Pelodiscus sinensis: one gene and its partners. The protein of the gene in region 1 interacts with the protein of each later gene in a biochemical or structural test. Links are inferred from orthologs where the notes say so. Each region holds a gene or a part of one and is shown in the gene's direction. Other genes may lie near its edges. The genes, in order: PTEN, DNAJA1, MAGI2 and NHERF1.

Region 1 (8,014 bases):
TTGTGGATCCTGATCCACAAGGGAGTTGCAAGGGTATCACAAAGTTTTTTAGGGGGTGATCACAGTATTGCCACCTGTTGGCTACGTCTACACTGCTTCTTTCTTGTGCAAAAGCCTATGCAAATGAAGCATGGATTAGCATATTGCCATGCTTCTTTTGCATAATTAATTAGGAGCTGTTTTTGTGCAAGAGGTTTTTGTGCAAAAAGGAGCCATTTACACAGGAAGAACAGCTCTTGCACAAGCAGTGTTTTTTGTGCAAAAAAGCTCTGTGTAGACAGCTCCTTTTTGCACAAAAATCTCTTGTGCAAAACCAGCTCCTAATTATGCAAATGAAGCATGACAATATGCTAATCCGTGCTTCATTTGCATAGGCTTTTGCACAAGAAGGAAGCAGTCTAGACGTAGCCTTTCTTTGCTCCCTTCAGAGCTGGGCAGCCCAAAAGTGGCAACTGTTGGCCCAAGTACCCAGCTCCGAAGGCATTGCCCCACCACCTGAAACACAGAAGTAAGGATGGCAATATCATCTTACTTCTGCACTGTTGCTGTCAGAACTAGGTGGCTGGAAAGTGGCATCTGCTGACTGATGTCCCAGCTCCTCAGGCATCAGTGAAGAAGAGGGGATGGCAATATCATACCATGCCATCCTTATTCCTGTCTTGAGAGCTAGGCTTCCAGCCAGCACCTGCCTCTCTGCAGCAACCCAGCTGTGAAGGCAGCACCGCGTTATCAGCACAAGAGTAGCAGTACAACAGTCCCGTTCCCCCCCCCCCCCCCCCGCCCCGCCATAACTTTGTGGTCCTCACTCACTACTCTTTTTTTGGGTCAGGATCACGACAATTATAACACCATGAAGTTTCAGATTTAAGTAGCCACCTGTTGGCTACGTCTACACTGCTTCCTTCTTGTGCAAAAATGATTTACATTTTTCAAAATCTCATGACCATGAAGTTGACCAGAATGGGCCATGAATTTGGCAGGATCTATATATACGCTTTTCATGACATTAATTTCATGACTAATTTTCATAAAATCACAATTCAGAAGTGATATGGACAGAACCCCCAAGTCTTCTCATATGGCAAGTAATTGCCCATTCATAATCTACACACTGCACTCTGTCTCTGATGCTCTTTAACTACATATATAGTGGGAATGATGCAAAAATGAGAAGTGCAACTGGGTTGGGCATGGAAGAGATGAGGAAGAAATAGTTGGTGAATTGCAGTTGTTGATGTACTACTATTGTGCCCTGCTCTCTGTTCCTCCTGTCAGGATGAACTGACTCCTCTGGGACCTATGAGGCTGCAGGGGGCAGTAGGTGCCCATATACTAGCTCAGAAACTACAGCTGTCCTAGAGGTGATTCTTTAGAAAAATCAAACTAATGAATTGACATGACATGTTATACAAGTATTGCGAAAACATAGAAAAGCACTTTATCAGAAGTAGATATAACACATTGTTTGGTGGTTTATTTTCATATTACATTTCTCAGTAAAAATCAGGTTTTTATACAGATTTCATATTATAGTCACCTTTATTCTCATGCACAAGTTTTTAATTGCTATTGTTTGAAGCCTTTAATCATTTATGATACTTAATATCTCCTTCTTTACTCCTATTTTAGATAATAGAGTAGGAAAATACTTCAACTGCATTCTCTTTTCTGTTATGCTGATTGCATAATCATTCCAATGGGGTTGTGTTTCCATTTCTTGTTAGTTAACATTGTATATGTGGGGCGAGTATGCCTTATCTTTATGTAAATCTACATAGCAAGGTATCTGTTATGGGTATATGGTCCTGCTGCTTGTGGTTATTTTTACTCTTGCTTCCACTACCTATCATGCTGGTACGTCTTGTTTTAATGTTTTTAGCATCACTCTCTTAGGCTACATCTACACTGTGTACCTTAGAGCAGCACAGCTGTGCAATTACAGCCATACCATTGCTTCAGAGGGGTAGCCAAGTTAGTCTGTAATAGGAGAAACTTAAAAAAATAGTATGGTAGCACTTTAAAGACTAACAAAACATATAGATGGTATCATGAGCATAGCCCACTTCTTCAGATGACCACCATACCATTGTAAGGTATGCAACACAGTCCTTTGCTGGCAGGACAGAGCTCTCCTGCTGGCAAAAGAAAACCACCTCAATGAGGGACAGTAGCTTTGGTGGTAGGAGATGCTCTCCTGCTGACAGAGTGCTGGCCATAGTGGAACTTTCTGTAATTAAGATTATTTTTTTTGTCAGTTGGCATGTGTATGTTTCACACCCCTGACTAGCAGAAGTTTTATTGACAAAAGCGCAGTGCAGCCTGAATATCTAGGATCCTAACATAGCCTTAGCTGCAGGCTGGGTGCGAGAAGTGGGTGTGACAGACAGCAACTGAAGCTCTGATTTTTTTTTTGCAGAAAGATTCTGGCTGACTTACAAATGTTTCCTGTGCATAGGTAACAGGTGGTGCCATAACCCATGCCACAGACTGATCACACTCACTCACCCTAACTAGAAGTGACAACTCTGTTTCACAAATTCAGAAACTGTTTTCCTTCTGTATTTCCATAAAAACAGAATTGTATTGGAGGAAGGAGGTAGCATCAGTCTCCCTCTAGCTTGGTGCTTAAAGTACTGGTCTGGACTGTATGGCTATGGCTATATCTAGACTACAAGCCTCTTTCGAAAGACAGCATCTGGAGTACAAGCAGATTTTTCGAAAAAGCGAGCCACTTTTTTGAATTAGAGTCTAGACGCTCTTTTGAAAAAGCAGTTTGCCGTCAATAGTGTCTTTTTTAGAAACAGTACTTTCAAAAAAAGGCATTATTCCTTGTAAAATGAGGTTTACCATGATCAAAAAAACTGCTGTGTTTTTTATTTAGTTTCAAAAGAATGCAGCTGCAGTCTAGAGGCAGGTAAAGGTTTTTTGAAAAAAGGCTACTTATTTCCAAAAAACTCTGTAGTCTAGACACACCCTATGAGACCCTCACCCCCAATTACCTGCTGTGCTTGATTTAGAGCAAGGACCTGAACCTCCCCCACATCCCAGCTATGTAACCTAATCCACCCACCTGTAGATTCTCTGCCCAGGACCCAAAAACTTTTCAAATAAAAATTTAATGCAAACAAACACATTGCTATTAAAATTTTAATCTTAGTCAAAACAGTGTATTTTGCCAAACCATTTCAACCAACATCACTTCAGTTATTCCTAATATTACATGGTTTAATACAAATTATCTGCCAACCGCATCTGATTCTTTCTTCTCTTACACCTGATGCAGCCCCAGGACCACTACATTCAGGGATTGCTTTATTCCATGCAGCCAGCCATCCTTCAAGTTTTCCTATATAAACACTTCTCTTCTCTGGAATAACTTTCCTACCTGGGAGGATGATGCCCTCATATATTTTCAGTCTCTACATGGTGTTCCCAGCAACCAAGTGCTGCAGCATCTGCATCTAAAGCAGAATTCCAGGGACACTGATGACATCATCAGTATTTTTACAGTTTTGAAGAGCCATTCTCTTCTCCATTCCAATTACCTCTTCACCTTGACCTTGTTCCTCATCTTCTCCATCACCCTCCCCCTTCCTCTTTACCTTATCTCCATTCATTAAAAAACCCTAACCACCTTCCTTACAAAATAAAACGAATGGGCATGCCATTCGGTGTTCCTGCAGTGTTCACTGGGGGTCGGCACCATATCCATTCTCCAGCGCTTAGTCCGATCTGTCAGGTTCATTCAGATTCTTGGGCCAGGCCCGGTTTGCTCTACGTGAACAGCATTTACTACAGTGGAGCTCGGCTTCTCAGCTGCTCCCTAACGCTAGGATCATACCGCCAGCCACAGAAGCTGCCTGCAGTGCTAGCTCCGCACTGGACACAGCACCTTGCCTCGTTCCCGGGGGCTAGGAAGAAATGCGGCGGGCAGGTACCCAGATCACGCTGCACCTACCCCACCGCGGGGGCCCACGCGTCCCGGATCTGCCCAAACCCCGCAGATCTACGCGCCCGAGAGAAGCCCATCAGCGGCCAGGCTCCCGCTCCCGATCGAACGCGAGTTGTGCTCCGCCAGGGGGGGTGAAGTGGGAAGCGCCGGCGCAGGCAGAAAAGGGCCCCAACCAGCCCCACGTGACTCCACAGGGAAGTAGCTCCGACGCGGTCGTAACGTGAATTTATCCTTCCGCCACCCTGTGGCCGGGTCGCCGTTGGCACGCCGGGACGGCTCTTCCACTTCCCTCATCACGACCGCCGCGTTTTCCCGGGGTGCAGGAGCGAGCCGAGGAGCGGGCGGTGCCGCGGATGGGAGGAGTGGTGGTAACAGCGGCAGCGGGACGCTGATGTGGCGGGACTATTTCGCCTTAGCGGCGGAGGAGGCGGGGGGCGGAGCCAGGCCCCTCTCCTCTCGGAAGCTGCAGCCATGATGGAAGTTTGAGGCGCTCAGTGTCGCTGGGGCGCGGAGGAGGCCGGGGCCGATGAGAGCGGGCAGCCTGCAGCCCCGCACGCACCGCAGCGCCTGAGCCCGCGCGGTCTCGCTCCTCGGTGTGAGGCGCCTCCGGACGCGCCGCCTTCTCCCGCGAGGCCGGGAGCGCCCGCCCGGCTGCGCGGCCCCATCGCGCGGGCTCCGCCGCCGCCCCGGGCGGGGAGCTGAGCTGAGCGGGACGGGGGGGCCCGAGTCGCTGTCACCATTTCTGGGGCCCGGCGCGCTGGAGAGTTCCCCTCTCCGCCTCCATCGCCTCAAAGACGGCGGCGGCGGCGGCGGCACACTCAGGGACCTGGGCCGACTCTAAACCCTTCCGCCGCCGCCGCCGCGGCTCCGGCGCCGCTCTGGGCAGCTGGGGAAGGAGGGAGCCGCCGCCGCCGCCGGGAGCCGCCGCCGCTGCAGGGGGAGGAGGGTTCGCCGCTTCCCCCATCTTCAGCCGCCGCTTGCGGGCCTGGGGCTGAGCCGCAGAGGCAGGCCCTGTCCACGGTGCCATCCAGCAGCAGCAGCCATTACCCGGCCGCCGTCCAGAGCCCAGCGGCCGCCGCTGCAGCGGGGAGTGGGAAACCAGTCACAGCCGAGCTTAGGGCCATCTGCAGCCCGCCGCTGCAGAAGCCGTCGCAGCTGCCGAGCCTGTCCTCGCTATTCCTGAGTAGCCCCCGGCTCCCAGACATGACCGCCATCATCAAAGAGATCGTCAGCAGGAACAAAAGGAGATATCAGGAGGATGGCTTCGACTTAGATCTAACCTGTATCCTCGCCCGGCCCGCGCTAGCGTTTGGCTCGCCGTTTCTCTGGGTGCCTTGATCATCTCCCCAGCGACCTGTAGTGTTAATGCTGAGCAGGGATGTGTGTCTGTTTCTCCCCCCCCCGCTCTTCTCCAGGGCTGCCATATTCCTGACTGAATTTGCTGTTCTCTCCAGTGCAGCCAGAGCCCAGTTGGGCAGGCTGAGCGCTCGGCCTAGGCCCAGCACCCGGGATAGAGATGAGATTAAAATGGAAATGAATGCTGCACGTACAGCAATTGCATCAGATTCTTACAGTAATTATGTAGTGTGCCTGCTCGTGTTTTTTGTGTATTTGTGTTCGGCATAATTATTTTGAGCACTATCAGATTTAAAAAGTCAGATGTGCGGCTAGGTTTCTGCAGTTACTGTAATTGGAAGTTGGTCAGTTTTTAGCAACCATATTGCTTTGTTTCATGAAACTAAAGCATTATGTTGTAGAAAAAGCAACATCCTAGGTCGGTTGTTGTCTGTCTTCCAGTTGATTGATGTAGATTGGGGTATGAACATTACCTGCTTGATAGTTGTTGTTTTAGATTCTATTATGTAGTTCAGAATAGAGGTTGAATAGTTATTTGGTCAGTAATTATGATGTCATGCAGATTGAGTATTATCTGTAGTAAATGGTGATTGCAAAGATTAACAGTAGTACTCGTTTGAAATCAAAGCATTCTAGTAGGACCTGTATTGACACTTTTGCTTTAGGTGTCATGTACTAGATACAGTGATGTCATTGCTCATGTTCAGCATAATGCCATTTAAAATAGAGCCTCTTACCTTGATGTTTGATTTTTAGCTCAAATATAAAATGTAATCATTCTACTGTACTGCAAATAGTGATGCCTTTTTCAATTAGTAATTCAGCATTTCGAATTGGAAACATAATTTTAGTGGGCATGTGACTTATCTGCTATTTTCTTGTTCTTTGCATAAATAGATACAAAATATGTGTTGTGCAGTGAATGAAGCATACTTTTCCAGTTTTTAACTAAAACATACGTTGTATATAAATGACAAGAATGTAAGAAAATAACTATTAATTTAAAAATTGCGTCTCTTTAAAGAACACCAGTTTCTTCACTCAACCATATTTTACACTGGTAGACTTTGTGTGCATTGACTTACCCATGGATTAGGACATTTCACAAACAAAAATAGTGGATGAGGTTCCTTTTTTTCTGCTGTCCGATATGTTTTGGGAACTCTTGAGAAATGTAGTGTTCGGGGACATGTAATCTAGCTGCATTAGGATTAGCAAGTCAAACCATGGAGCATTAAAAGGAACTGCATAGCCTTTGAACAGATGTACTATAGCAGCAACAGCAGACAGATGTCTGGCTTTGAATATGTGCTGCAAAGTTAATGGTATATAAGATTGTATTGTAACAGATTAAACTATCAGAATTAAGTTCTGTTACTTGTCACAGATACTATTAACTAAACGTAGAATTTGTTATTTATGAAGTAGTTTTAGTGCTTAAGTAATGAATATGGTATTCATTTTCAGAAGGAGGTTCTGATTTAGAATGGTTTTACAGTAGGGTTAAGATCAGCTTATTGCTCTTCTGACTGTGAGCAGAATTGCATCACAGGTACTGGATTTCTGTATGGAGAGAGAAAAGTGCCTGTAGTACAGAATATCTACTGTTACATTGATTTGGGACTCAAACTAAATATTTGAAGACTTAAATGTGTGATCCCATGAAGTGACCATTTAGCTTTTTTTTAATTACCTGCTGCTTAGTAAAATATTTCGGTTTTAGTAAATATTTTTTCTTTCATTGGGAACATATTGATCAATTAATGGGTTGCTATTTCAGAATTTCATTTTAGTTCTTTAAACTTTTTTGTTTTTCTGTGATGTGTATAGTAATACATACCTGCATTTTCAAGTTAGTATTATAAAACCTGCAAGATTGATATCTGCTCTGAAATATAGCTTACAGACTTTAGTTTATTTGCTACACTAAATGATGTACTTACTGATTTCTTCTATAATGCTGGTAAACACGGAAAACCAATAGCAAGAAACCTAATTTCATACTTCCCAGTTCTAGGGTTTGTTTGTAAAATACTTTGTCATAATGGCATACTGTAACAAAGCAGAATTTCATTTTAGCAGAATTTCATTTTAACTATTCATCTGCACATATATCTATCTATTTTTTACTTGCCAAGAAGAATCTTGTAATTTAGTTAGTGATTTTACTCATCAAGCTCAGAGTTTTGAAGAATACATTAGGTATAGTTACAAAATGTATTTTCTTTTCTGACTTAATAAATAGTTCTATGAACTCTTTCCTTTTTAGATTTACCTTGGAGGACATAACAAATTAAACTAGAAATTGGCTATTTAAGCTCATAGAAAGATTGGTTTTAGCAATAGTTCAGATTAAATGAAATAATATCAAAGTAATATGAAATATTTTCCCATAAGATTCTATATTTTCTGTAGACTATTTTGAACAATGGAAGAAGGCTCTATGTAGTAAATAAGCCCTAATTGAAAGTATTGGTGAGCATTTGGGTTTTATAACTTTTTGTGAATCCTGCACAGGGAGACCTTTGACAAAGTTGTTAATGGGTAGTTAGTTTTGTCTAATGCCTCAAAAGTTATACTGTTTTCTCCTTTACATGAATTAGGAATTAAGTTAAATCTGCAGACTAACCTTGGTTAATCTTCAGGATGTAAATGGTTAACTGGTAACCCTCACCCTTAATGGGTATGGCTTACTGATTCTGGTTA
Region 2 (7,869 bases), on another chromosome or scaffold:
TACAATTCTCCTCCAAGGAGTTCAGTCACAAACATAATGAACACATTTTTTTAAATGGGCATCATCAACAGGGAAGCATGTCCTCTGGAATAGTAACCAAAGCATGAAGGGGCATACAAATGTTTAGCATAACTAGTTCTTAAATACCTTGCAATGCCAGCTACAACAGCAACATCTAGGGCTCATCTACACTACCCTAGAGTGTCGAAAGAGGATATGCAAATTCCATGGGAATTTGCATATCATTTTCCGATCTCACTTTTGAAAGCAGAGCTTTCAAAAGTGAAAGTAGTTTAAACATGGCTTTTTCGGCGGCTCCCTCCCTTTTTTCGAAAAGCCGATCTTCCTCAATAAATGAGGAAAATGTCTTTCAGGTGACATCGTAAATAAGAAGCAGGCAGCATTACTCCCTATAAACATAAACAAACTTGTCTTAGCAGTTGGGTGAACAAGAAGCAGGACTGAATGAACTTGCAGTCTTTCGCTGTTTTGTTTTTGAGTACTGTTATGTAACAACAACAACAAAAATCTCCATTTGTAAATTGCCCTTTCATGCTATAGAGATTACAAGAACTGCGGTACATCAATGTGCATTGAAAAATACTATTTTTATAGTGCAAATATTTGTAAACCAAAGTAATATAAAGTGAGCATTTTACACTATTTTTGCTGTGACTGAAGTCAATATATTTGAAAACACAGAAAAACGTCAAAACTATTTAATAAATTTCTATTGGCGTTCTATTGTTTAGCAGTGGGATTAAAACTGCATTTTATCATGATTTTTGAGTTAGTCACAAGTCAATTGCCATTAATTGTCAGCCCTAGTTTTTTAACTACTTAGCTGTTTTCAAACTAGCAGTTGTGTGTACACTGAAGCTATTACTTACCCTGTTGCCTTGAACATTTCTTGTCTGTTATTTCGGTCTCTGGGCCACGCCCTATTACTGTTGTTTCTAAGTGTGGCAATTTGATTCGCTGACAGCATTTATCTTTCCTCACTAGCCAGCACACCCGCATGATTGCACTGTGAAATAAATAAGAGGACATAGACAGGATTACAATCAGATAGGGATCAAGATCCCGTGGCTGACTACAGGATTGGGCATCAGAAGTTCTTGTTTCTATTGCCAGTCCACTAATTGGCTGCATGACGTTGGCTAATTTGCTTAACGTTGCTGTGACTTATTATCCTTCTCTACAAAATGGTACTAATAAGAGATATTTCAAGGCCTTATTTAATTATCTATGTAGTGGTTTGATAGCATCTCCCACAGAAAGATGCTGAAATGCAAAATATTTACTATTATACACACCAAGTTTACATTATTCAGTACATATTTGTTTATCATGTTGAGCGATACCCATATTTCTCCAATCAGCTGATACAACATTAGGCTGCCTATATATATTGTTTTTATAGACACATCACATTCATTTTTAGATTTGCCACTGTGGCCACTTCTGTAAGTTCCAATAGCAAGTTTTATTCAGTAGGATTTTACTACACTATATATCACTTGTCCACCATAACCCCTACCTCCTTTTCAGAAAAATTGCCTTCTAGGATATAGTACACCATTCTACAGGGATAGCCTATATTTTTTGTTCCTAGATGTATACCGTCACATTTGGCTGCATTAAATGTTTTGTTTTAATGGACACAGCTTATCCAATGGTCCAGATGTTTCTGTATGAAAAACCTAGCCTTAGCATCATTTACTACTTTGCCAATATTGGTGTCATCTTCATATGTTACTAGCAGTGATTTTACATTTATTGGCAGAACAATGACAAAAGTATGCAATGGGATTGGTCCTAGTACTGATTCCTATAGAACACCATTTATTTCAGCAGTAAAAACACAGCTATATGGTGCACTGGGCTATTGTGTATGTTACTTAGGGATATTAAAATGCATTTATTTGTGTAAATGTGTATCCGCTGAAATTTTCAGCAGAATTTTTTTCAAGTTTGGGAGGAAGAGGGAGGTGGTGCTCGTGGGGAGCTGGCTTTTCAGCTCACTCATTGCAAGTGCCAGCTCCTGTTCCCTCCCTCCTGCTGCCTCTGTTATAGGGATGGGGGGGAAGAGAGAGAGGGGAGCCGCTTGACAGGAACCAATATGCGAAGGGAGCTGGCGTCAAAGCTGGTTCTCTGCATGCATCGGCTCCCATCTGCTCAGGAGCCAAGATGTGTGGAGATCTGGATTCCCATACATACCGGCTCCAGCCTGCTCCCCTACCCCCACACTGCTGCCTCTGCCACTGCAGAGCAGGCATGCGCACAGAGCTGTCTTAAAAGCTGGATCTCCCCACATACCAGCTCCTGCTTGCTCTGTGGGAGGCAGCAGCACGGGCAGGAGCAGGGAGCTCAGCAGCAGCTGATATGCCCCAATAGGCACCATTTCCCACCTCTCCCACTTTTTGCTGCCTCTGATACAGAGATAGCAAGGGGAGGGGGAAGTATGTAGTTGTTAAGATTAACCGATAAGCCCAGGCCTATCGGTTATTCATGTAGATGACTACCCACTAACATCCGTAATGTTAATTTTGTTCTCTGCCACACAACACGAGACAGCAGCAGCATGGCTGCTTCCAAGTTATACTTTTAGTTTTACCAGTAAAACCTTCCAGGGGGACATTTACACCTTTACTGGCTTAATTTATGACATTAAGCTAAACTGACAAAACCCATCCTTATGCTAGAATGAGTCTGTGCAATCTAGGGATGTGACAGGTGGCCAGTTAACCAGTTACCTGGTAAGCATCACCCTTGCTGCATGATGCATACTGATGAACCAGTACCAGGGAGCAGCCGCCTTCTCACAGCTGGCACCGCTGTACAGAGAGAAGGAGGGAGGAAGAGCCAGCCGCTCCATTTGGGAAGGCGCAGTAAAAGCAGAAGTCAGTTCCCCTGTGCTTAGGACTACTAGTGGATCCAAGTTAATGAGTTAACTGGTAAAACCTAAGGTTTAACTGATTAACCGTGAGTTTACATCCCTAGTGTCAACAGGAGAAGTTATAAAAGGATAACTATGCCAGTTTAAATTCACACCATAACTTAAACTGTTATAGCTTACCAATGTAAGAAACATTTTTTAAAGCAGACTTAGTGATTCAGTGAAATTGGTGCAAACTTTTGCCTGGGCACTTCCAATGTGTTCTGACTGAAACGTGTTCCTTTTCAGTTTAACCTAGACTATATAACTTATAACTATGCCAAAGAAAGTGACAGAGTTGACCCATACAATGAAGGCCTTAATTAGAATGGTAATAGAAATGTAGCCGTGTTAGTCTGGGGTAGCTGAAGCAAAATGCAGGACTATGTAGCACTTGAAAGACTAACAAGATGGTTCAATAGGTGATGAGCTTTTGTGGGCCAGACCCACTTCCTCAGATCAAATAGTGGAAGAAAATAGTCACAACCATATATACCAAAGGATACAATTAATGCAAGTTTCTTCACCCCTCGCCCCGACACTGCCTGCCCGCCCCCTCCTCTCCCTCACCTGCCCCCCTCACCCCCGCCCCCTCCCTCGCCTGCTCCCCTCACCCCCGGCACTGCCCGCCCCCTACTCTCCCTCGCCTGCCCCCCTCACCCCCGGCACTGCCCCGCCCTCACCTGCTCCTCTCACCCCCGCCCCTCCTCTCCCTCGCCTGGCCCCCTCATCCCCACCCCCTTCTCTCCCTCACCTGCACCCCTCGCTCTGGCACTGCCCCCCTCTCCCTCACCTGCCCCCCCTCCCTCAACTGCCCCCCTCACCCGCGGCACTGCCCCCCCTCTCCTTCACCTGCCCCCCCTCCCTCGCCTGCCCCCCTCACCTGCCCCCCTCCCTCCCTCGCCTGCCCCCCTCACCCCCGGCACTGCCCCCCCTCACCTGCCCCCCTCCCTCCCTCGCCTGCCCCCCTCACCTGCCCCCCTCCCTCCCTCGCCTGCCCCCCTCACCCCCGGCACTGCCCCCCCTCACCTGCCCCCCTCCCTCCCTCGCCTGCCCCCCTCACCTGCCCCCCTCCCTCCCTCGCCTGCCCCCCTCACCCCCGGCACTGCCCCCCCTCCCTCCCTCCCTCGCCTGCCCCCCTCACCCCCGGCACTGCCCCCCCTCGCCTGCTCCCCTCCCTCCCTCCCTCGCCTGCCCCCCTCACCCCCGGCACTGCCCCCCCTCGCCTGCCCCCCTCCCTCCCTCCCTCCCTCGCCTGCCCCCCTCACCCCCGGCACTGCCCCCCCTCGCCTGCCCCCCTCCCTCCCTCCCTCGCCTGCCCCCCTCACCCCCGGCACTGCCCCCCCTCCCTCCCTCACCTGCCCCCCTCACCCCCGGCACTGCCCCCCCTCCCTCCCTCGCCTGCCCCCCTCACCCCCGGCACTGCCCCCCCTCCCTCGCCTGCCCCCCTCACCCCCGGCACTGCCCCCCCCTCGGCGCCCCGCGGGCAGGGCCAGTCACCGTCTCGCTGCCAGCGTCACACGCCTGCGTCCGCCCCACCAATCAGATCCGGGCCACGGCGCATCCCAGAAGTTGTGCGCAGGCGCTTTCGGAAGCCCCGTCCCTCGCTGGAGGGCGGGCAGAGCCAGCAGCAGCGGGCGGGGGGGAGGGGGTCACGTGATACGCCCTCGCCTTGCCGCGCGCGCTGCCTGCGGGCTGGGAGTGTTCACAGGAAACAGGCCCTGGCGCGCGCTCCGCCGCGTGCCACTCACAACCCCGCCCGACACCGGCTGCTGGGGCGCGTCCCGCTGTGTCCCGCCCCTACACCCAGCGCTCCACTGCACGCGCACAGCTTGGGGCTCGCACGGCATGCTGGGGGTTGTAGTCCCGGGAGCCAAGCCAAAGATTGGCTCTCCTCCGCCTGGCCCGTCCCCATCCTTGATTCGGCCGGGAAACCGAGGGGGCGGGACTTCCGGGGTGGAGCTTCTGCGGCTACAAAAGTCCCCGGAAGGAGCGACCGGCTCATAGAGAACTTTCCAGAAGGGTCTCGAGCGGCCGAAGCAGCTGAGAAGCCCGGAGCTCGCCAAGCCCTGCCCGGTGAGTGGGGCCGGCCCCCGCTGCCGCCTTTTCTCCCCCCCCCCCCCCGCGCCGGCCGCTGCCCCTCCCCCCCCGGTCTCGCTGCCCCCCGCCGGCCGCTACCCCCCCTCTCCCCCGGTCTCGCTGCCTCTGCCCCTCTCCCGCCCCCCCCCCGCGCTGCCGCTGCCCCCCTCCGCTCCCCCCCGGTCTCGGTGCCCCCTCCCCCCGCGCCGGTCGCTGCCCCCTCCCCCCCGTCTCGCTGCCTCTGCCCCTCTCCCGCCCCCCTCCCCCCGCGCCGGTCGCTGCTCCCCTGCCCCCCCCCCAGTCTCGCTGCCCCTCTCCCGCCCCCCCCCCCGCGCCGGCCGCTGCCCCTCCCCCCCCCCCGTCTCGCTGCCTCTGCCCCTCTCCCGCCCCCCTCCCCCCCGGTCTCGCTGCCTCGCCCCCCCCCCCCCGCCGGCCGCTGCCCCCGTTCCCCCAGCCCGGGCCCGAGGGGCGGCCGGTGTTGGCTGACGGCGGGCTCCCGCAGGCCGGCGCCATGGTGAAGGAGACGACGTACTACGACGTGCTGGGGGTGAAGCCGGGCGCCACGCAGGAGGAGCTGAAGAAGGCCTATCGCAAGCTGGCGCTCAAGTACCACCCCGACAAGAACCCCAACGAGGGCGAGAAGGCAAGTGGGGCCGGGCTCGCCGGGCACTGGCCCGGGGCTACCTCGTCCCCACGCCCAGCACTTACTCTGGTGTTTCTTGCAGTTCAAGCAGATCTCGCAAGCATACGAAGTGCTTTCTGATCCAAAGAAGAGAGACTTGTATGACAAAGGTGGTGAGCAGGCTATTAAAGAGGGTGGTACTGGCAGCAGTTTTGGGTCACCCATGGATATTTTTGATATGTTCTTTGGAGGAGGTGGAAGAATGCAGAGAGAGCGCAGAGGTAATTTCACTTTCTCTGGTACTGCCTAAGGGACTCTTTGCTGCTGAAGTATTTTCTTGTTAGTCACACATCCTGTAGTACCTAGTATAAGGCTATAGATACTTATGTGTTTAAGCTGCACCTTTTTACAAATAAGGCTTTTCATGCTATGTAGCAGTGTCTAAAATGATCATTACAATGATAAAACAATATCTAAAAAGGCACTGTTCTAAAACCAATGTTTTAAATGCTAGCATAGAGGAGATTAAGTTTTTAAATAAAAAGCTGTTTTAGTTAATATTCTATAACCAGGCATAGGGTTAAGGTTTGATTTTTGTGCCCTCTTTGCAGATGGTAATGAGCCGGGCTCTCAAATATTGGAAAAAAGTTTGCAGTATCTTTAAGCAAAGACCTTAGTACTAAGCTTTGCTTAATTAGTCACTGAAAAGGATTGACATATTGTAATTCTAAGTTAATTACTATTTTAAAATAAGACCATATTCTCTTTACAGGTAAAAATGTTGTTCATCAGTTGTCAGTATCTTTGGAAGACTTGTACAATGGTGCAACAAGAAAACTGGCTCTGCAAAAGAATGTGATCTGTGATAAATGTGAAGGTATGTTAATCAGTCTCTGTGGGATAGGCATGTTACAATCTAACTTTAATAAAAAGTAGTCCTTACTATAGTAATTCCTCACTTAATGTGTGTCCGCTTAACACATTTTTGCGATAGCACAATTTTGGGAACATTTTTGAAGTACATGACCGTTCCCAGAATAACACTATTTCCCCAGCCGGCCTGTTGCCAGTGGCTGCGCAGGGCTTCCCCATCTTCCTGCAAAGCGGAGGAGGGTTCACTGCTCGCTGCGCCATTCCCGCTGACTACCCCTCGCTGGACGCCTTGCGCCCCCCCCCCTCCCCCCCCGCGCTGCTTGCAGGCTGGCAGTTAGGGGTTTCCCCAGCTGGCCTATCACTGGTGGCTGCGCAGGGCTTCCCCCGCCTCCTTGCAAAGTGGCAGAGGGTTCGCAGCTTACTGTGCCATTCCCCGGCACCCCCCTCCCCCCCGCACTGCAGTGCACGTCCCAGCAGACCCAGCACAGGGGCATACTTCCAACCCAGTCCCCTTCTCCTCTCCTCTTCCCCAGAGCCAAACACCTCCCCCTCCCTGCTGTAACCCAGTCCCCTTTCTCCCCAACCTTATATCCCGGACCCAACAGACACCACTGCTTGAACCGCAACCCCCACCTTTTCCATTATTTTCAATGGGAAAATTGACCCCACATAACACATTTTCACTTAACACCATCATTTTTTGAAACATATCTATAGTGTTAAATGAGGAATCACTGTATAGATATATATGCTAGTCTATCATGCGCTTTCGTGAACAAAACCCACTTCAGCCCATGACTGCTCATTTTAGAGATACATCAGGGCCTGATGAAATGTATCGTAGAATACTCAAAGAGCTGATAGAGGCGGTATCTGACCCTCTAGCTATCACCTTTGGAAAAACATGGGAGACAGGAGAGATTCCAGAAAAGGGAGTGACTTGAGCGTAGGGATTTCCCTGTGCGGATTGGCCCCGGGGTTTGGCCTGGGGAGGCACCCGTGGGGGTTTGGCCCCGCTGCAAGAGAGGCGGCTTGGCCCCGGGGAAGGCGCCCACAGGGTTTGGCCGCACCGTGGGAGAGGGGGTTTGGCCCCAGGGCAGGCACGCGTGGGGTTTCCCTGTGCCGCAGGGGGTGCGGGAGTCAGGCCTGGAGGAGGAATGTGCTGGCTTCCCTCTGCGGGGGGGGGGGGGGGGGGGGGGGAATCCTGGGAGGAGGCAGATGGAGGGGACTCTGCTGCCACTGGCACCCTGTCTCCTGTCTGTGCTCCCCAGACCCTACTCCCCTGTCCCCAGCTACAAAACTCTGTCCCCATTCCCATCCCCAGCTACAGAATTCTGTCCCCACTGGCACCCTGTCC
Region 3 (7,925 bases), on another chromosome or scaffold:
AGAGTATAAATGTATCCTCGGAGACCCAAGATTTCTCCAAGTAGAAAAGGTTACAAGTTTGGATCCCAGGGGAGACCAAACCACCTGCAGAGAGGCCTCAAATCTCTACACTAACTGGCTGTGTCTAGACTGGCAAGTTTTTCCGCAAAAGCAGCTGCTTTTGCGGAAAAACTTGCCAGCTGTCTACACTGGCCACTTGAATTTCCGCAAGAACACTGATGATCTCATGTACGGAATCAGTGCTTTTTGCGGAAATACTATGCTGCTCCCGTTCGGGCAAAAGGGCCAGTGTAGACAGCTGAGATTTGTTTTGCGCAAAAAAGCCCTGATCGCGAAAATGGCAATCTGGGCTTTTTTGTGCAAAAGTGCTTTTGCGGAAAAGCATCCGTGCCAATCTAGATGCTCTTTTCCGAAAATGCTTTTAACGAAAAACTTTTCCATTAAAAGCATTTCCGGAAAATCATGCCAGTCTAGACGTAACCACTGTGTTTGGAATTGATCCTTACCTCTCTAGTCCCTGATGGGGCAACTTCGTTGAATCTGCTACCCAGCCTGCAATTGCTCCTGGAACTGTTAAAGAGGGCTGTGGAAAGATAATACATCCCCAAGTGTGCTTCTACCCTGATCTTCACAGGCCCAGTATGGGGACAATATGTACCCCACTTGGCATGATCCCCAACATACACACTGTTCACTCCTTCCCCTCATGCACATCTTTATGCCCTCACTATACACACGACATTGCTGGAAAACAGGATTCATCTGTGGAAAAAGCTCTCTGCATGTGGAGCAAAGGACACTGTTGGGCACTTACAAAGGCAAAGTTAATCCAATTACCCCAAACCCCAATCCCACTCCACTCTGTTCTGGGATACGGCTTCTGGACAAGCCCTATCTGTTTTACAACTATAGCAGGATAAATCAAAGTGATACAAATCTAAAGGAGTTACAAATTACTATCTCAAACAGATTCATACTGCTAGCAATATATTTAAAATGGAACCTACAGACTCTTTTAATAGACAGGAGAGGGATATGTAGCACAATAGTTTGCTACAGTTAATGTCAGCTTGATTTTAACTAATTCTGGAAATCTTAAATAACCCCAATGATTAAAGCTAAATTAATCTTGGGGCCTATTGATGGGGAAATATAATGCAGTCCTCTTCCCCACCTCTGACAAATATGTTTTAAGTTAATAACAGATACAAGCTATTATTCCAGGGAAACTTCTAGTAAGCCAGAGCACTGGCAGGTGTCAGAGCTCTCTCTCTCTCTGTGTGTGTGTGTTCTGGTGAATATTAGGTTATTTATAAATTGAATCTTTATTATCTGTAGCTCATGACTGCTGTTCCCATATTAACAGGGTGACCGCATTTTCTTAATGAAAAAATTAGGACACTTTTTATAGGGCTGAGGCTTTCAGTGAAGATATATGTAAGATTTTGGAAGCTCAAGGTGGGTCAAAAGGATGAGGCTTCTTACTCCCTATTCTCAGCTATTTACATGCTTTCTCTTTTTTCACAACTAGAAAGCAAAACAATAGAGTGGTGGGTCAGGGGGAAAAGCCATTCACCCTTTTACTGCTATTTTATGTTTTTATTTTAATTTTTCTATGGTTCTTTTCTCTTTCCTTTTCCTTTGGCCCCAAACCTGCAAACTGCCCCATGTGAGTGGATTCCTTCACCCACACAGAATCCCTCTGAAGTCCATATTAAACAGCTTGTAGGATCAAGGTCTTTGTTCTTTGCTTGTTGTACCACTGTACCCTTCCACGGGTACCCATTTAATTTGCACCCATGTGCTAGTGCAATAGAGATAGTCAAAAAACAACACATTTCTGTGAAAAATTTCATTGACAAATAGTGCCATTTTTTCCATTAACATTTCAAAAACATTTTACAACTTCTAAACTACAGTAATCTCTTCCACGCATACTATATCCCACCCTTCATTCATTCTGCATCCAATTCACATGTACCTGCATTCATATCCTCATCATTCTTCCATTCTGCACATGCACATAGTACACCCATGTAGATGAGGTGAGAGGAAATCTCTTGCCTTTTAAAGGCTAGGTCAACCAACGTTTCAGCTAAAGTATGGAGTTTTCCCTGTCCATGTTTGGTCAGTCTTTACTTAGTAGGGAAATCCATTTCTTTAGGAAGTGAGACATTCATACATTTGTCTATAAAGCCCAGGGGTGGATGCATTTCTTCATTTTCATGCTAGAAAATTCTACATCTGAGTGTGGGGGAAGTACAGATCAGAGGGTGTTAAAGCAGCAAAACTTAAGCAGTGAGGGTCAGCTCAATGTGAGGCAAGGATAGCATGGTGTTGAACAGCTGGAGTGCTTGGAATCAGGGAGCACTGGGCAGCCTGGATAATCCAGAAAGTTGTGGCAAGGAGTGTGAAGGTTGAGGGCTGACAGGTAACAGAGAGGGCAGGGTCCCACAAACCATTCACTCATCTATCCTGCTGATGTTCCCTATTCTTCTCAAACTTGCACTTGTCCCATACTCTCTTCACCAGGCAAAGTCCACCTGAACTTTGATGGGGGTGGAACCTCCCTTTCCCCTGGCATCATGGTAACCAGGCTTAGAAAACTTGTTCTATGGCAATAGTATCCAATAAACTGTAAGTTTGGGAGTCACTAAACCTAGAGGCACTACAGGGTTCTGTGTAAATTCAGAGCAGTTATGACTAAACATATTAATGGGGCCTCAAGATTCATAGCTGTCACGTTCGTCTTGCCACCATTTGAAGCTTGCTCAAGCCAAGAACATCTAATTTCATAACTACATATTCCAAATCCATTTACTGATTTTTCAAAGCATCCAATTCACTATTTTAGATGGATTTATAGCTCCTCTATAGCATAGTGTCTTAGCATCTCAAAGTCTTTAATATGCTATTCCTCAAGCTAAATTGGGAAGTGCTGTTAACCTGTTTTAACTCCCCAGAGGTATCTAATGGTACGTCTACACTACATGGCTCTGTCGACAGAGCCATGTAGATTTGTTTATTGGGCAAAGGGAAATGAAGCAGCAATTTAAATAATCGCTGCTTCATTTAAATTTAAATGGCTGCCGCGCTGAGCCAACAAACAGCTGATCAGCTGTTTGTCGGCTCAGCGCACTAGTCTGGACTCTCTGCGGTTGACATCAAAGCCCTTTGTCGACCGCCCCGGTAAACCTCATCCCACGAGGAATAACGGGGTGGTCGACAAAGGGCTTTGATGTCAACCGCGGAGCGTTCAGACTAGCGCGCTGAGCCGACAAACAGCTGATCAGCTATTTCTAATTCTGCATCCAATTCACATGTACCTGCATTCATATCCTCATCATATCCTGATCAGCTGTTTGTCAGTTCAGCGCGGCAGCCATTTAAATTTAAATGAAGCGGCGATTATTTAAATCGCCGCTTAATTTCCCTTTGCCTACAACCCTAATCTATATGGTTCCATTGATGGAGCCATGTAGTCTAGACACAGCCTAAGTGCCTAACATCCACTGATTTATGCACCTAAATAACTCTGAGGATCTGGACCTCAGTGACTTGCCCCCTCACACAGGAATCTGTGGCAGAGCAGAGAGATGAAGCCAGGTCTCCAGAAATCAAATGCTACCATCCTAATAACTGGATCACCCTTCCTGGCCCCACCACATTATTCCCATGTTTTGCTTTAAGGGACTGAGCTGAATTGACTCAATGGTAGAGACCTGTGTGGACACAAAATGTGAATCTGTATCCATATCTGCAAAAATGATCCGCAGATATCTGCATCAATATCCACGGATATGGATATCCACAGATATAAAGTGGGTATCTGCAAATGTGCAAGATATCCACACACAATTTATATCTGCATCCGCCAACATTAGCTGTGGATATCTACATCCATATCTGCAGATTTGCAGATACCCACTTTATATTTGTGGATATCCATATCCGTGGATATTGATGCAGATCTCTGCGGATCATTTTTGCTCTATCAATGGGTGACTAGGAGCAAGAGGATAGGCAGGGAATGTAGGTAAAGGCAGGATGCAGGAGAGGATTTCTTCACTTTCTCCTTCCTGTTCCACCATTGTTGCTTGTAGCATAGGCCCACAAAGGGGCCAGGCACTTGGCAGCAACAGAAGCCACATTCCCTGCCCTGGGGAACTCCCAATGTAACCTGGCAAACAAGGAGCAGTGACTGGCAGTCACAGGCAGCAGGAGGGAGTGGAAGCTAGGCAGCTCTGAGGCTGCAGTTGCTTATGGCTGTGATGCCCCTGTGCCCACAGAGACCCCTCAGCAGGGGTGGGAGTGGAATTGGGGCCAGGCAGGGAGCGGCTCTGGGGTGATATGGGCACTGGGCAGTAGGGAATGGGGCTGGAGGTCAGCGCTGCTGTACCCAGGTGCTCCGGGGTCGGATGAGCGGCCGGGCGCTGGGTCGAGGCCAGGGGGCGCTAGGGGTGCAGAGGGAGCCGGGAGGGAGGTGGGTGCCGTGGCTACGCGCTGCACTGGGCAGCCGTGCCGCAGAGCGGGCAGGCCTGGTCCGGGACCCGCGGGGGGTCGGAGCTTCAGCGATGGGATCCCGGCTGGCGGGGCCCGTCCCGCTCCATCCCTCCCGGGCTGCAAAGGGGAGGGCCCCCCGCGCTGTCACCCGCTCGCTCCCTGCCCGCCCGCTGCAGGGGTTGCTGCCCTTTCCCCGTCCGCGGCTCGGCCGGGCGCCAGGCCGGGTGGGGAGGCTGCAGCTCCCGGGGCCTCCCTTTCCTCCCCACCCAGCCCGGCTGCTCTCCGCCTTCTCCCCGCCGTGCCAGCCAGCCTCTCTCTGGGTCTTCACTACCGGGTCAGGCTGGAGGCGAGCGTGATCAGACACCCCCCTCCCCCAGCACACACAGTCCTGCTCCTCCCCCTCCTCCTCTCCGGGCCGTCTCCATCCCTCCCTCCCTCCCCGCCCGCTCCCCTCCCTCCTTCCCCGCTGCCACTTACTGTACAACTAGTGCACACACACACTCGCACTCCCAGGGTCCCGGCTGCCGCAGCTGCCATGGCCATCCGCTAAACACACCCAGACTGACAGCCAGGCACGGGCAGAGTCACCCCCACTCCCCACCTCTCCATCCTCCTCGCCGCCCGGCGGCCACGGCCCCTGCGGTGCCTTGCAGCCGGCCGGGAGCCGCCGCAGCCCCGGACCCAGCCCCCCGCCCCAAAAAGGAGCCAGGCTCCGGACCAGCACCCAGCACGCCGGGGAGACTCCGCCAGCCCATCCCCACTGCAATGTCCAAGGGCTTGAAAAAGAAAAGCCACTGGACGAGCAGAGTCCACGAGATTGTCCTAGGCAGGAACCAAGAGGGGCAGCTGGGCTTTGAGCTGAAAGGGGGAGCGGAGAACGGGCAGTTCCCGTACCTGGGGGAGGTGAAGCCCGGCAAGGTGGCCTATGAGAGCGGCAGCAAGTTGGTGCCGGAGGAGCTGCTGCTGGAGGTGAACGAGACCCCCGTGGCCGGGCTCACCATCAGGGATGTGCTGGCCGTGATCAAGCACTGCAAGGACCCCATCCGGCTCAAGTGTGTCAAGCAAGGTAAGGGCCAGCTGCCGCGTGCCTGCTGCGCCTCGGCGGGCGGGCCAGGGGCGGACCGGACGGGGTGACAAGGAGCCGGGGCGCAGCGGGGACAGCGCCTGGGAAGGGCGCAGCCCGGGAGTGGCGAGGAGATGGGGTGCCGTGGGGGAGGGGAGACAGCCCGCAGACCCCGCCGCGGGGCGTGTAACTTTGTTCCGGCACTTTGACACCCCCCCTTTCTGGGCAGGGTCCAGCACCTGGCCCCGGGGAGGCTGCGAGGGGCAGCGGCGCCCTGTGTGCTTGGAGGAATTAAATGTGCGTCAGTGACAGGCTGCCGCGGTTGCAGGGGGCGGGAGGCGGCCAAACTTTGCTAGGGCCGGGCCGGGGCGCACAGGCACCCCCTGAGGTGCTGCAGGCAGAGCCGGGGCCAGGGGTGGGGAGCTTGGGATCCCGGGTCAGGCAAGCAGCTCGCGGCGCCTCCAACACGCATAGGGAGCCGCAGCACTGAGAGGGAGGCGAGGAGCCAAACCTTGTGACAGGCGTTGAGGAGCATTAGCATCGAGTAACGCTGTGGCCATGCAGGGCACCACGCTGCGCCGCGTAGCCAGAAGGAGCAATAGGGCTTTGGCCGTCCCTAGCGTAGTCTTTCATATCTAGAGAAAGTGGCCTGGAGGCTGGCTTTGGGAGCTGGTACCCTTGGCTCCGCTTGACACTGGGCGTGTTCCCCTGGAGGTAGTGACTTGCTGCTGCTTGGCAGGTCCCTGACACCTTAGGGCGGCTTTAGCTTCCGTACAGTATCATTGTAGGAAAAATCCTCCACTTTATCTCCGATGAAAACAATCGCCTGGTGCTGGGGAAAGGGGATTTCATATCCTGACACCAGAGAGGAAAGGGTGCTCGCTGCAGGAGCCGGAGGGAAGTTAGAGGACAGAACCATAAACTTTAACTGGTCATCTGTTTCCCCTTTAAAAAAAATAAATATATATAAGTCCTGGAGTAGTTTAACAGAATTCCAGGAAAGTGAATATGATTAAAGATACTAGATTTTCCGTGTAACCCCTTTCTGCCCTTTCAACTAAATTGGCAGGTAGGGGAGGGTAACAGAAGGTTTGGAACAGTTTTCTGACACTCAGAGAAGTGGTGGCAGAGCAGAACAGTTGTAAACTCCAGTGACAACCACATTCATAAGTGGTGCCTTGATAATGATGATGCAGTGGTTGATTGTGTGTGTGGGGGGGGAGAAAGGAGACTAAGGCATTTCAGGCTCAGCCATAGGAATCCAGTTAATACTGCGGTGGAAATAAGTTCAGTGCCAGTATTCTATCTCCAAAAAAGGCAACCTTGGTACAGATTGGGGGGCAAAATGGACAGCTGTGTCAGCTGCCCCAGATTCTTCCTTAGTATAATTTTGTAGTTGAGTTTCATCATTTTAGTGGATGGCCTGTTATTCATGGTGGTTTTCAATGAGATTTCAATGAGATTCAATTTCAATGAGATTCAAATGCTTGAAAAATATTATTGGCCTGATCCAAAGCTCCCTAAAATCAGTGGGAAGATTCTGTTTGACTTTGAGTTAGTCTCCATAAGGATATTACTGTGTGTTCAATTGTTTACAGTGAGGTCACATCTCCAAACAACTGACATAACCTGGTATTTATACACTGTATATTAAGCTGGCATATTGGTAAATTCAGAGTACAGCAGTGTATTGTAAGTCACATTTTGAAGGACAGAAGTCAAGGAGACATAATAGTTGATGCAACAAGTAAAGATGAGAAAGGGAAAAGACTTAAAGCAATTCTACGTTGTTGTACTGGGTCACCTTTGGGCTCTGTGCTCCATGAAACCTGCTATAGTGTTTCAGCTTCTAAATAAATGTAAAAGGTCTCAGAGAGGTAGCCATGTTAGTCTGTATCTGCAAAAACAATGAAGAGTCCTGTGGTACCTTAGGGTGCTTCTGCACTGCACCGTAGCTCAAAATAAGATACGCAATTTGAACTACGCAAAGTGCGTATCTTATTTCACTCTTATTTCAAAATAGCTTAAACAGTGCCAATAGTCTATACAGTGCCAAATTTCAAAATAATCGGCTATTCTGAAATGTTCCTTACTCCTCATGGAATGAGGTTTATAGGGACGTTGGAATAGCAAGCCTGTTATATCTGGAAATAACGGGCTTGCTGTGAAGACACAGAATAGCTATTTCAGGATACTCCAGTATCCTGAAATAATGTTGTAGTGTAGATGTAGTCTTAGACACTAACAGATTTATCAGGGCATAAGCTTTCGTGGGTAAAACCCACATCATCAGATGACTGGGAGTGGAAATTACAGAGGTAGGGGTATATATAAGAACAACACAAGAAGTTACTTGTAA
Region 4 (7,069 bases), on another chromosome or scaffold:
CACAGCAAGTCCATTCTCTGGCAGTCGTAGCTTCTCTCTCTATTATCATGGGACTCCTTTGCCTCTTCTATTGTTCACGGTTTATTGTTTGCAAGTTACAGAATTAAATCTCAGTATTTTGGAGAGCAAATGTGTCCACCTAGTTCTTGGCCCAAGCAATTTCCAATTCTTTAGAGAAGAGAGAGGGTGTTGCTGGCTGGGTATCTGCAATGCAATATTTGCTGGGCATTAAATAAGTACAGCACAAGCCCTGGAATTTCTGGTGTGCGTCTGCCTAGCCCCTGTGACTTCACTGCACATTTCAGAAGTCCAAAGGTGATGGGGAAGAGTAAATATGGTCTGTTAAATTAAAACCAACCTCCTCCCCCTGCTGTTCTCATGGTACAGAGTCTAACATTCCCCAAATACCTTTGTCTTCCCACCAATGGAATTGCTTCTGTAGCTAAGCTGATGCTTGCAAAAAAGAGAGAGAGTTAGTTGGCTTTTTCTTTTAAATTCTTTTCGGTTTTGCATCCTAAATTTTGATCTTTCTTAACCTACTAAGCAGCTGCTGAAAAAAAAAACTCCACACTGACTGGGAGAAACCAGGAAGATTAAGATACTTGCAGCCAAATAAACATTAGGAAAGCTGTCACATTCTGCTTTATCATCAGTGCTCAAAGTTCCTGAACTGCGGGGTATGTGGTGTGTTTCTTTCCCTCCCTCTGGTGAATTTCACCTCCCTCCCTCTGTGCCTTTCTAAACCCTCCCCTGCCAGAACTGACTTGTATTTCATGGCTTATAAAAAGATTCCTGAAAAGCACATTTTTTGCTTGAAGAATTCCTTCAAATTGCACTACTTTTCAAGAAGCTGTCTGTCATGTTTGCAAAGCATGTGTTGTGGCTGGGTCTCATCTTTGGTAGCCTACTGGGACTGCTGAGTTACTCACCTAGCTATAAAGAAACTTAAAACTTTTTCTAGTTCCAGACTAACTCGGCTACCCTTCTCTAGCTATAGAGGTCCATTCTACAGGATCAACATCGTAGGTTTTAAACCCACCGCTGATAAACTTTAAAAAGGAGATAATTACCCATTGTGATTCCCAAGACTCCTTATAAGGCCTTTATTTCCACTCTGAAAAATACTCTTACTTCATAAAGGGCTCTCCTTAGAACTAAATTGGCTCTTTAGTCCTGTACCTGCCTTCTTGCAGTGAAATGCAAAGAAGATGGTCCACTTCCCTAAGGACATTGAGTTCATCCTGCTGGAATTGAAACTAGCAGTGATAGGGCACAGACAGGTCCGCATAAGTCCACTTTGCTGGATTTCCCAGTTGACATTGTCACTTTAGCTCTGTGTCTCTGTAATTCTGTTAAGCATAGTAATTGTATAAACCAGGGGTGGGGAACCTTTTTGGGACAGGAGCCACTAACCCACAGAAAAATCAATCGGGCTGCACAACTCCCCCCCCCCCCCCATTGACATGGCCCCTGACTGAGAAGACACCCACATTCCTCTCACACACCAGCGTTGGGGGTGGGAACAAGCCAAGTAGATTTTGTGTGCTCCAGCCCTGTAGTGGGGCCAGAGTGTCAGAACCAGCTCCCCAATGCAGGGGCCGGATTCAGGCAAGCCAGGGACTGCATCTCGCCATTCCCGATCTCTGGTATAAACCAACTGTAGGGGGCTTCATAAAAGCTTCCATCTATTCCACAGGAGCTTCTGTCCTTGCATTTTAAATTATGCTGAAGTTGTGGTAGTTTAGCAGACGACAGTGTTCATATATGATGGAAAAAGGGTCCCCAAAACTGACAAAAAACTAGTTTTAATTTGCATTTTAATTCCTTTAAGAAAACTGTTAGAGTTTTTTCTGCCTCTCTGTTTTAGCTCAGAGGGATTTTTGACCAGGCCTCAGAACAAAAGTAAAACCACCAGAGGTGCTCAGACTGTTCACTTTCACTTTTCGCTCTGCTGTTATACAGGGCAGGGCCTGGGGGTGGGATGAGGCATCACCAGAACAGGAAACCTGAGGGTGCACAACTGGTGTCAAATGCACAAAGTAAATGTATGGGAGGAGGGGGAATGTCTAATTTGACTCTTGTTTCAAGTGCTCATAGGGGTTACAAGCAATGTTCCCTGTAATCTTTTCCATCCCCATGCAGAGTTTTTTCCAGCCATGTGTGGAATAAATTTGTATGTGCACCACAGCGTGTATAAATGTGCACCATCAGGAGAAACACAAACCTAGCAGTGAGCGCTCTGCTTATCAGCTTAATGGCATTTGAATCTCTCCTGAGTGGCCACACAAGGGCCCAGCTTACTGGGAACACTGGTTACAAGTTACAATAGTAAGTGCAGCATTTTCAGATCTGAATGGCATTTTTTAAGTTGACTGTCCCTTCAAATGTTCTCTTTTAACATGTTAGACTCAATTAAATAGTGAGGATGCTGAGAAATGCTATGGTTCATCATTGCAAGATTTCTGCATTCTGTTACCTTCACAGTTAAGGAAAGAGTAAATGAAGTCTTATGGGGTATCATGTGCAAGGGACAGTCCATTGTAGATTCTTAAATGTATCCCCTGAATAATATAGTCTCAACAAAAAGCTGCTGCTCCCTTTTATCCTGCAAAATAAAACTGCTTTTATATTGAACAGTGTTATACTTAGTGTTTATCATAAAGATGATGCTGAGTTCTGTAAATGGCTCTCTCCTGATGCTGTTTGGAGTGGGTTTTACTTACACAGGCAGCACTAACCTCACACAGCTCTGCGGTTTCCACAAAGCCAAATTATGGATGAATAGACAAAGTCCAACTAGCAGAGTTGCAAAGGGAAATTCACGGGAACCTGATCTGGAATTTTGAGAAAGAGAGAAAAGTTCCCAGAACCTGCCCTGGCACCCATACAACCTTTACCAAAGGGGGGAAAGTCCCGTGATCTGTAAAGCTGTCAAACCACATGCAGAAACAGACTAGTGCCCTCTGCTATGACAGCACCAGCTCAGAGGCTATTCAGAGTCCATCTTCTCTCCCCAATTTTACTAAGGAATTTAGCATCTGATATGTCTCAACCCACATGATTCCTGTTGCTTTAGTAAATACACAATTCGATTGCTTCTGGTGGCCTAGATTCAGATCTGTTTTTTGTTACCCATTGTTCTCCTGTTCAAAAAATGCAGCCATCCAATCAGAGAGCAACCATGTGACCGAAGTGAAACCCCATCCTACACCCCGGAGAGTAATTAGTCAAAGACAGAATTAAAGCAGATCCCTCACGAACAGCCCATCAGCCTGAAAGCGGTTCACAGAAAGGGTGCTGTGAACTGGAGTAATGAATTGAATGGGTGAATAGGACCCAGCAGTTGTACCAGAGCGTTCTAAACCCGAAAGGATGGCTCTAATTGCAATTAATATGATTAGCAATCCCACCAGTTCCTAATGCGTGTAAAGCCCCAAACTACCAAGCTACTCGGTCACCGCCTTCAGTCCGATCGAGAGCCACTTGAACACAGCGCTGCTGGCAGACGCTCCTGGGAGAAAGGACTTGTCAGTTGCCAGTAAGCAGCTTGGGGTGTGTCATTGAGAAACAAGGATAAGTCAATGAGTCAACCCGCCCTCCCTTCATCACAGCAAGTCTTCCGGGACCAACATTCTGCCCCCCCGAGGAAGTCGCGGCAGCGCTCAGCTGGAGGCAGGCTGCAGGCTGGATGACTCAAGGCGCCCCACGCCTGCTTCTCTTAGACGCCTTGTCTCTGGGGGAACGAAGTGCCCCAGCCCTTCTGGAGAATCTTCGCTCTTGCGACTTCGGGCCACTTCTGCTTCCGGAGAGCTCAATTTGCACGCGGGAGGCTGAGCAGCCTGTCAAAAAACGTGGGGAAAGCGGAGGAGCGCGGGGGGGGGGGGGGGGGGGGAAGCGAGCCTCTTTCCTCTTATTTGCATAACCCCGCCTTCTCGAGGTTTGGATCCACTCTCGCACTTCACGAGCCGGGTCAGCGCCCCTCAGCTCCTCCCTCGCCTAACTCCGATTGGTCCGGCGTCACCTCCCAGCCCCCTCTTGCCCGCCCCCTGCTATAAAGGGCGGTGACAGGCGCTGAACTCAGACAGAGAGCGGGGCGGGGATTCGGGCGCTGCGCTGTGGTTGTCTCCCTGCTGGTGCGCGCTCTCTCCTCGGGCCAGACCCCGCCCCGGGGACACCTGCTGCCCGGAACCTCCCTGGGCTTTCCGGGTGTCTTCGCCCGGCGCTGGAGCGATCCGCCCGCGTCCTAGCGGGGCTGCGGCGGGCTCCTCTGATCCCTTTCCCCGCTCCCCCGGGAAGATGAGTGACGGGGCAGGGAGCGAGCAGCAGCTGCTGCCCCGGCTCTGCTGCCTGGAGAAGGGGCCGAACGGCTACGGCTTCCACTTGCACGGGGAGAAGGGCAAGGTGGGCCAGTTCATCCGGCTGGTGGAGCCCAACTCCCCGGCCCAGGCGGCGGGGCTGCGGGCCGGGGACCGGCTGGTGGAGGTGAACGGCGAGAACGTGGAGAAGGAAAGTCACCAGCAGGTAGTGAACCGCATCCGATCCGCCGTGGGCGCCGTGCGCCTGCTGGTGGTGGACGCGGAGACCGACCAGCAGCTGCAGAAGCTGGGCATCCAGTGCCGCGAGGAGCTGGTCCGGGGGCTGCCCGCCGCGGGGCAGGAGAAGCCGGAGGAGAAAAGTAACGAGGAGCCGCTGGAGACACCGAAGGAGCAGGAGGAGCGGCCAGAGGAGGAGGAGGAGGAGACGAGCCACCCTGCGGCGAGGGTAAATGTAGGTTCTTTCTGGGGAGGAGGGCGAGCCTTGGGGTCTAAGGGCGAACTGGAGCGGGAGAAGTAAAGGAGGCGGGAGACCGCCACGGTGCTCTGTGTGTGTGTGTGTGTGTGTGTGTGTGTGTGTGTGTGTGTGAATTAGGCAGAAGGGTGAAGAGTTCGTGCAGGTTGGGGCTAGGAGGGACAGGTTCTCAAGTAGCTCGAACTTTAACTGAAGTGCCCCTTTTAAAGAAAGGCCAACTTTGAAATCTAGCCTGTTAAGTAATAAGAATCTCAAGCATTCCATTGGCCCATGAAGCACTCTTCCTGTTGCTTTTTTACAAGCACACTTTCCAGTCTTTTCTTAAAAGTTTTGGGAAAGCAGTGGTAGACATGAAAATGAAGGGCAAATGAGAAAAAACAATAATGGAAGCAGAAGAATCCAGGCTACATACCATCCTCGAGGCTTAAACGTCTCTCTCCTGCTGCCACATGATAGAGGCAAACGGGAAACTGAAAGTCACTATTCAAAGTTCGTGGGAGTATTCAGGGGTCCTGGTCCTTGACTGGGTCCCCTCTTGTGCGAGGTGCTGCACAAAGTAAACAAGTGTGTGTGGGGGGCCGGGAAGGGGGGTGTTAAACTTTCCCTAGCTCACTTTTTTCATAGAAGGGTAAGGCTTTTGTTTGCCCCTCTTAAGCATCTTCTCTTGCCAGTAACCACTAGGACTGCATGGTGCCATGTTGCTGTAGTTGGGATATTTGAAATAAGATTACTTTTCAACAGAATCCACTTTCCTCTCAAGCATTGCAGTGAAAGTGGTGTAATTACTCTTACAGATATGGATGAGAGTCATGGTCGAACAACGCAAGGACTATTGCCTTCTCGGTGCTCATAGGACACTAATGCCACCCTTGCGTGCATGTATGGATGTGAAACTGAATGCTTCTCCTGCTTGTTAGAATTGTGTAGCTCTTAGTTGGTGGGGAGGCAAAAGAGATCAGCATCTCTGTTATGATGAGATGGGTTATTTGTCCAGGGCCCTCTAACTAGATCCTCAGGCATCCCAAAGTTAATTCAAATTTCTGTGGGCTTAGAGTCCTAGATTAGGGTTGAAAGACCTATAGAAGATCATCTAGTCCAACCCCAACTAAATGAATGTCGTAGGTTGTCATAGATCAGAAAGAACCAGTAGCTGGTGGCTAATTAGGAGGTGGGGAGCTAGTAGAGCTGCATTATCCTCTTTTAAATCTCGCTCGTTCTTTTTTGCTGTGATATGGTGGGTTTTTTTTTTTTTCCTTTTAAAAAAGGTGCAACCCCTCCCAAAAACCCTTGACAGTGGTCAGGCTGCTGGTGTGCTCTGACCAGTTTTTCATACTGACCGGTATCTTGTTTTGTTCGCTGCTCTATCCAATTAAAGATTGTAGTAAATTCTTCAGGGCAGGGATTCTGTCATTCTGCAGTGTCCTGAACAATGGGAGCTGGACCTCTCGGTGCTACTGACAGAAAACGATTAAAAACTAAATAAAAGGGATGGGGAACTTTGATTCATGCTGACTTAAGTCTTGGGTAAATGTGGAGGGGGAGAAGGGACTCTGGAACTGAGACTCAGCATCCTTTACTTACTTGGGGTAGTTACTAATAGAGGCTCTGCCTTCATGACCTAATGAATATTTATTTATATAATCAAAAATATGTACCTTGTTGTGAAGACTTCATGTTTTCACCCATCGGTGGTCCTCAAAGCTGAGTTCTCTTACTTAGGAAGGGAGAGATGAAAAATCTGAACTCTTGAAAGAAGCAGGGTCACTCCTTTATGATCAGCATAAACTTTCCATGTATACAATTCTGTAGCTGCCATAGTGGGTGCATTATTCATCAGAGCTTAAGGGTGAGAGGTGAGCCTGAAGAAGAGAACTGAAGGCTTAATTATCAAACAAAGATGTAAATAGGCCAAAATGGCTCAAAGTGAGAGTTTGAACTCTCAATAGAACGGTGTTGGTCCGATGTCCCAAAGAAGCTCCACTCCCCAACTTCAGTAAATTGAAGTCTCAGGTGCAAACACTATTTTTCTGAGTTCCAGCTCTGAACCTCTAATGCTCTAAAGCCTGGTTTTTTTTTTTTTTTGGGGGGGGGGGGTCACCTATCAGTTTGTGTTAATACAAGAAAACAACCTGTAGCGGGGGTAGGATCTAGAGAGGTGCTGTGAACTTTAGACTTGGACTCTGTAAAAGAGCAATCCCAATTACAGGCAGGGTGTTAGCTGGTGTGAGGAGGAGGAGCAGGGTGCCCTTAAGGAGATAAGTGAGGACAATGGATGGACTTT

Evidence for each region.
Region 2: the proteins of PTEN (region 1) and DNAJA1 form a complex in vitro, tested with the Homo sapiens proteins (2 studies listed by BioGRID). The link is inferred for Pelodiscus sinensis from reciprocal best matches to the Homo sapiens genes PTEN and DNAJA1.
Region 3: the proteins of PTEN (region 1) and MAGI2 form a complex in vitro, tested with the Homo sapiens proteins (2 studies listed by BioGRID and IntAct, with this or other methods). The link is inferred for Pelodiscus sinensis from reciprocal best matches to the Homo sapiens genes PTEN and MAGI2.
Region 4: the proteins of PTEN (region 1) and NHERF1 form a complex in vitro, tested with the Homo sapiens proteins (3 studies listed by BioGRID and IntAct). The link is inferred for Pelodiscus sinensis from reciprocal best matches to the Homo sapiens genes PTEN and NHERF1.

What each region holds. Positions count from the first base shown.
Region 1 is NC_134718.1:38,724,821-38,732,834, forward strand, and holds the start of PTEN (phosphatidylinositol 3,4,5-trisphosphate 3-phosphatase and dual-specificity protein phosphatase PTEN), read left to right. Parts: upstream 1-5,012; 5' UTR 5,013-5,155; coding exon 5,156-5,234; intron 5,235-8,014. UniProt on the Homo sapiens protein: Dual-specificity protein phosphatase, dephosphorylating tyrosine-, serine- and threonine-phosphorylated proteins.
Region 2 is NC_134716.1:16,787-24,655, forward strand, and holds the start of DNAJA1 (dnaJ homolog subfamily A member 1), read left to right. Parts: upstream 1-4,861; 5' UTR 4,862-5,014; intron 5,015-5,519; 5' UTR 5,520-5,528; coding exon 5,529-5,660; intron 5,661-5,742; coding exon 5,743-5,920; intron 5,921-6,411; coding exon 6,412-6,516; intron 6,517-7,869. Other genes in the region: APTX (aprataxin), read right to left, coding at 891-1,027, 2,757-2,878.
Region 3 is NC_134711.1:21,274,069-21,281,993, forward strand, and holds the start of MAGI2 (membrane-associated guanylate kinase, WW and PDZ domain-containing protein 2), read left to right. Parts: upstream 1-4,919; 5' UTR 4,920-5,268; coding exon 5,269-5,569; intron 5,570-7,925. UniProt on the Homo sapiens protein: Seems to act as a scaffold molecule at synaptic junctions by assembling neurotransmitter receptors and cell adhesion proteins. Plays a role in nerve growth factor (NGF)-induced recruitment of RAPGEF2 to late endosomes and neurite outgrowth.
Region 4 is NC_134730.1:13,341,633-13,348,701, reverse strand, and holds the start of NHERF1 (Na(+)/H(+) exchange regulatory cofactor NHE-RF1), read left to right. Parts: upstream 1-4,065; 5' UTR 4,066-4,296; coding exon 4,297-4,767; intron 4,768-7,069. UniProt on the Homo sapiens protein: Scaffold protein that connects plasma membrane proteins with members of the ezrin/moesin/radixin family and thereby helps to link them to the actin cytoskeleton and to regulate their surface expression. Necessary for recycling of internalized ADRB2.